Linked DNA regions of Drosophila melanogaster. The protein of the gene in region 2 binds, or shares a complex with, the protein of the main gene of each other region. Each region holds a gene or a part of one and is shown on either strand. Other genes may lie near its edges.

What was found.
Region 1: Lamtor3 (region 2) and Lamtor4 share a complex: the UniProt entries of both Drosophila melanogaster proteins name them as parts of the ragulator complex.

What each region holds. Positions count from the first base shown.
Region 1 is NT_037436.4:3,895,235-3,898,271, forward strand, and holds Lamtor4 (late endosomal/lysosomal adaptor, MAPK and MTOR activator 4), read left to right. Parts: upstream 1-1,665; 5' UTR 1,666-1,702; coding exon 1,703-1,857; intron 1,858-1,913; coding exon 1,914-2,121; downstream 2,122-3,037. Other genes in the region: Gr63a (gustatory receptor 63a), read right to left, coding at 1-874, 950-1,099, 1,160-1,369; Ccz1 (Caffeine, calcium, zinc sensitivity 1), read right to left, coding at 2,225-2,706, 2,770-3,037. UniProt on the Drosophila melanogaster protein: Regulator of the TOR pathway, a signaling cascade that promotes cell growth in response to growth factors, energy levels, and amino acids. As part of the Ragulator complex, may activate the TOR signaling cascade in response to amino acids.
Region 2 is NT_033779.5:17,479,343-17,482,537, forward strand, and holds Lamtor3 (late endosomal/lysosomal adaptor, MAPK and MTOR activator 3), read left to right. Parts: upstream 1-1,888; 5' UTR 1,889-1,991; coding exon 1,992-2,035; intron 2,036-2,113; coding exon 2,114-2,444; 3' UTR 2,445-2,695; downstream 2,696-3,195. Other genes in the region: fws (four way stop), read right to left, coding at 1-900, 954-1,559; GCS2beta (glucosidase 2 beta subunit), read right to left, coding at 3,105-3,195. UniProt on the Drosophila melanogaster protein: Regulator of the TOR pathway, a signaling cascade that promotes cell growth in response to growth factors, energy levels, and amino acids. As part of the Ragulator complex, may activate the TOR signaling cascade in response to amino acids.

The DNA.
Region 1 (3,037 bases), on a different chromosome or scaffold from region 2:
AGAGAGTCCTGTTCACATCAAAAAAGCCACCGCAGTTGATGGTCGATGGATTCATTTCGGTGGCTCGCAAAAACATATTTATCTCCGTCTGGGCATCCGAGTTCATCCAGTTAAGCTCCACCATGAGTAGTTTCTTCTGGAAATTGGTTCGCACATTAACCGAGGCATAATGTGCCTCATCGCAAATATAGAAGAGCAGTCCTATGTTCCACAAAGCCGTGATAGTCAGTCCTATGTCCTTGATGCCAAATCCCTCGGAGAGTTGCGACATTAGTCCATAAATCGAAAGGGTAATGATGAAGAACAAGTAGAGGCTCATGAAAACAAAGGTGTAGCACAGGGCATTTCCAGTATCACGGGTCAACTTGCTCAGTCGTAGCCACAGAACACGGTAGTCTGCCACCATGGCAGCGGGTCCAATGTGTTTCAGTGCCTTCTGGAACCGCTCCGCCAGAAGATGAGCCGTAATGCTCATGGCCTCGCAGATGAGGAACCACCAGGCACCCAGCATTGCAGTCAAGTTGTCCAGGATGCAGTAGGGCACCACCTGGTTAATGTTCAAATCCGACATGGTGACGTGCGTGATGACCACCGATAAAACCGAGAGAATTGGCAGCACGATGGCTATGTACACCGCCTTCTGTCGCAATTTCAGAGGCAAACTGTGCCCGGATATCTGGTAGTACAACACCTCAAAGTCATCCCAATCATTGAAGAGCTTTGCTATCTTCCTGGCCTCGTACCACAATATTGGTATAATCATAATGGGCAGGATGTTGACCAGAAAGAGGTATGCAATAACCGCCTCCTCGAAGGGTCCACTCAGGGAGCGCACAATGTGGATGCGGTTGTTGGCCACATAGCCTACATAGCACTGTAAAGCGGTTTTGGGTTACATAATGGTATCCATAGTCAATTTTGAAAAATGTTATGCAAACACCACACTCACCGCCAGGAGCACAAAGAAAACCACCGAGTAAATAAAGGAGGCGGAGTTCATTTCGAACTTGGCACGAGCAGGACCATGTCGCACGATGGGTAATACTCCAATAATCCTCAAGAACCAATTGATGGGATCTATGTTTCGGTAGAAAACACTCTGAAAGCAGCGAAATTCAGTTTTACAAAAATGGTTTTAACAGCGTAGCAATCCACAAACCGGCTTAAATTCCGGATTATTGGACGCCGTGCTGTCCGAGCTCTTTTTCCTATCCAACGGAGGAGCTTCGTAATCCGCATCCAATCGCTCCGCCAATCCAATGGAGTACTTGCGGACCCCGTACAAGTATGCCTGGGCATTAGCACTGTTCAGCGGTTTTGCATTGAGGAACACCGCGTCACCCTTCTTGCGTCGATAGTAGTTGGCCATTCCGGAGAGACTGTGTCCGGAATTTCCTTGTCCGTGGCCTTTTACCACTTTTTCGCCAGACGGACGCATTAGCCATGCACCTGCACACGCCCCCTTATCGACCACGCCCTCTGTTGACTTAGAGCCGGAGTTTTAGTTTCCTGTTGATGTGCGTTGTTTGTCTTTTGAATGAATTAACCTTAGCCCGGTGTCCCAATTTCGAATTTGTGTCAATGGCGCGCATGTGGCAATTTACAACACTGAAACCGGGCTGCCAGGCTACCGATTTGGTATCTAAATGGATCTAGTCCGGTCACACTGGTGGGTGTGGGTGCGAAAGATAAATAAATAAATATGTTGAAAATGGACAGGGAAAAGTTGATTGTGCCCAATCAAATTGGCTATCTGATACTAAAGGAAGATGGAGCAGTTCTGGAGTCCGGCGGAGATCTGAAGAACGATGAGCGCAGTGCAAATGTGATAATGGGATTACTAAATCTCACAGAGACGTGCGTTTTTAAACAAAGGATGAAGGAATTTTGTAATAATTACGCCTATATTGTAGCATCGACGAGTCCTTCATGCCGAGCAGCAGCTGCGAGAGGATCACCATCGATTACGAGCATCACTACTACAGCATCTGCATGTCCAACCGTAGAATATACATCATTAAGATCAGCAAATCGCAGAATGGCGTCACCACGACCACGAGCTCCTCCTCGTCGAACAGCGTGTATAACGATGCCAGCGATTCCGGGGCAGTGCTGGCTTGAAATCCGTCGTCGGATGTCCGACCCACTTGCAGATTCTGTTGGCAAGCAACCGGACAAAGACCCCACAATTGGCGCACTCCCATTATTTACCTAATCCTCCTCTTTATTTGTCAAAAAATACATCATCTGTGAGCTCTTGCTCGAAAATGCGCCTCGCTTCCTGGGTGACGTCCAGCAAGGTGGCCTTGCTATTGCACAGGATCACATAGTACTGCCTGTAGTTACAGCGCCGCTTCACAATCCAATAGTCATTGGTGGTCTTGACCTGAACTTCCTCGGCAGGAGCACTCTCCATTTCCGCCTTGCCACTGCCATTGGCCAAGTCCGCAATGATACTAAGCACATTGCGGGGCAGCCCTTGGGGCAGGTGCCTCTGAAAGTTCGTGTGGTGCTGCAGGCTTTGTTCGTTAATGAACAAGTACTTCGGCGCCGTTTCGCTGTTCCCGCTGGAGTTGTCCTGGCCTGCAGCACCCACCGCCTCCTTTGTCAACTCGCTGGATATGTCCCGGGCCAACGAAGTCAGTTGGGGAGCCATGTAGGCATGGAGATCGTCGTAGAGATCTTGTTTCGGCGCAACCTGGTCAGCTGACAAATGTGGAATGTTTCAAGTTGATTATTTTGGCTATTTAGTTCTAATCCTTAACATACCATTCAGAAACAGACACAGAGTTATGTGCAAAGCGCGGTAGATGAGCAAGTAGTAGGGTTTGGCCTCCTTGTCCAGTGTCACATAGACCTTCATTGGATGATCTTCCTCATTCACAGCGTCATGTTCATCTCCTGCGACCTTCTGACGACTTCTTACGAATCCGCCCACCTGGCATTCACTTATGCTTCGCTTTAGTGAAGGAGAAACTGCAATGGTGGAACTGCTGGCCTCGACTTTCAGCACGTGTTGCACGACATACGAGTGCAC
Region 2 (3,195 bases):
TATAATCTCCCTAGCTGTTCCCGGTGTCTTTTCAAAGTGCACATGAAGATCACTGAGCATGCGACGCACTGAATCCTTATAGTAGAACAGAACATTCGCCAGCTGGGTGTTTTGCTGCTGCTGCAGATTGGGCAGATCCACGACCTGCTTGGAATCAGCTCCCAGCTTGATTTGAGCCTCTAGTTTTGTGCACAACTCTTTTCCACAGGCCGCAAATACATTTGCTATGGCATTCGTGAGACGGGAATCGATCAAAGCAGCACTGAGCTCCGTTGATGCCACACGAATAAAGTTGTCCACCGTTTCGTTGCCGGGCAAATCGACTCCCGCCAGACATGCCTTAAAGTTGGCAGCACACTTGCTAACGTAACCCACTTCCAGGGGAGCAAATAGTTCGTTGTCAAACTGAAACTCGCCATGCAGACGCTGCTCCAAGCCACGAGCGGAGGTCAGGAGCTTTGAGAGCCCCTCCTGAAGGGTCTGCGTAACATGCTGGGGGCATTCGTCAAAGGATTTTCGCAGGAGCTGCTGCACCTGCTGCCAAAAACGCTGCGGAATGCACTGATCCGATGATTCTGATGTATAGCCAAACTGGTTGATCTGCTCGAGAGCCGTTTTCAGCAGCTTGATTTGCGTGCAAGTCTCAAAAAGTTCATCATAGAGCAGCCAATGAAGAGACTTCCAGAACTTGGCACGGAAGTTTTGAGTGGTTGTCAACTGGGGAGTTTTTCCTGGTCCCCTCGAGGGAGCAGGTTTGCTCACATTGTGCGTCGGGGACTTGTTCAGCACAGATATATCGTTGCCAGCAAAGCACTCTTTCAGAGATTGCTCCATGTCGGCAATAAAGGTGGCCAATAGGTTATCCAGCGATTTTTCCAGCGTATTGAAATTCATAAAGATCTAAGGAATAAGAACTCTTAGGTATATGCTAGAAAAATGTTTGTTATATCCACCTTCAAGGCATTAACCACTTGGTTTTCATTGCGCTCCTGGAGCCCAGTGACCAACTGCATCTGCGTGAGGTTCCTTATCTTCTGAGCAGAGCTGATCACATAAGCTCGCTCCTGCTGGATAAAATCAATGTCCTTTAGCTCCTTATCTTCGATGAGTTGGCCCAACTCAAAGTGGATTTCGGCCAGGCGTAGGACATCCTTGGTCGCTTTTAGTTTGGCCGTGAGGCTCAGCAATGTTCCAGCCGAGCGGAGTAGGTGACTGACATCGTGCAGACGCCCTAGCACTTGCGTTTGGTTCTCCACCTGCTGGTACTGCGTGTCCACCTGGTTCTTCAGCCGGTGCCCAGTTTCCCTGACCCGCTGCACATCCTCGGCGAGCGCGTTTAAAGCCGCATCGAAGCGCCCAGCGTGGGTGGCCTGCTGCAGTAGAGCTCCGTGCTTGTCGCGCACCTGCTGGTGCAGCTCCTCCTTCGTGTTCTGCAGTTGCTTGGACAGCTCCTGGATTTGCTGGCCAATGGTCAGGTGCGACATGGATGCGGTAAAGTCATTATCATCCGAATCCGCTGCGTTTGGGGTCTTTGTCGCTACCGGGTCTCCAGTCACCATGATGCAGAAGGTTTTAATCTATGGTAATACGAATTATAAGCTGGTATTACACTTTTATTTCCATTACTTGCAGCAATTTTACGTATTGCAAACAAACTGTTTTTCCACGCAACCAAAAACAGGCTGTAATCGATAAATTTCCAGTTGAGCGGGGATTGAATTTTTTGAAGGGGTTTCTAAAAAACTATATAAAGTATTGCGTGATAGCTTAATAATATAATATTTAAATAATAATGTTAAAAACTAGCCGCATCCTTTTTCCGCTTGCTGAAAATATTTTACTTCGACCGCCGACTACGCCCCTGCCACATGAACTTATCGATAACTTGAGGCAGCTGTTGCTCACTTTGTTTTGTGTAAATAATTGGATGCGGAGAAAAACGTATTATTATTGCCATACCTTCTCTAGTCTTTCGCTTTAACAAATTTTCCATGTCGGACGACATCAAGAAGTATTTAGACGGCCTGCTGCAAAAGTAAATATTCCACAGGAAAGGCTGTTCCCAATATGATTAACTTATAATTTTTCCCCCATTCCCCGATTTACACAAAAGGGTCAGCGGGCTGTACGTTATTCAGATTACGGATCGCGACGGAGTGCCCCTCCTGCGGGTTAGCCAGGAGAAGAACGTGGACTTCGCCCTGATGCCCTCGTTCATACCCACATTCACCACCGCCTGCGATCAGGCCAGCAAACTGGGATTGGGCAGAAACAAGACCATCATCTCCATGTACTCCAATTACCAGGTGGTCCAGATGAACAAGCTGCCGCTCATCCTGACCTTTGTGGGCGCGGAGAACTGTAACACGGGACACATTCTCGCACTGGAGCACCAGGTCGATGGCTATTTGGAGGACATTAAACAGGCTGTCACCGAGGCCTAAAGTTAGTCTACCTTGTAATATGCATATTTTTAATATTTACTAAATGTTTATACATACATACTTTATTGAGAACAGAATGAGTTTTTAAAAATCTCAACTCACCATTGTACTATTCCGGGAATTTATTTCATATCCTGCGAAGGGTGATCTCAAAGATGAACAAAGTTCCGAGTCCTCCGTTTTGGCAACAATATCAAATATGCAAACTATTGACACTTTATTTAAAATGAAAAATTCTTGCTGCCTAAAATGTGTACATTCAATTAAATTTCTTCATATAGTTTCTCAATTATAATATACTTTTCCCTATACCTTGAAATCGTCTGTGCTCAAGTATCACGAAAGTAAAATATTTGTATGTTTGAGCTCAAGGAAACCGACTTTAAATCAACATTTTCATTCAGTGATGTTATCTGTTTTAAAAATACTAGGTGTTTACACTTTATTCAGAATGAAACTTGATGTACTTTTTGCTTAAATGCATATACTGAGTTAATTAGCTACAATTCTTGATGGTTTTCCTGCTGCAGTTTGGGAATGATCTCGACAAAATTGATATTCTCCTTTAAAACTAAAATACAATCCCCAAATCTCTGGTCTACGCATGCCAAGCATTCACATTTCTCTGCGGCTCATCCTCATCGTCGATTGTTGAACATTTCAGAGTTCGTCGTGCAGATTCTCCGATTCGGACTGGAAAGCTTCGCTGTCGCAGGCGGCGGGAGTTTCGAATTCAAAGTAGTATTCACAG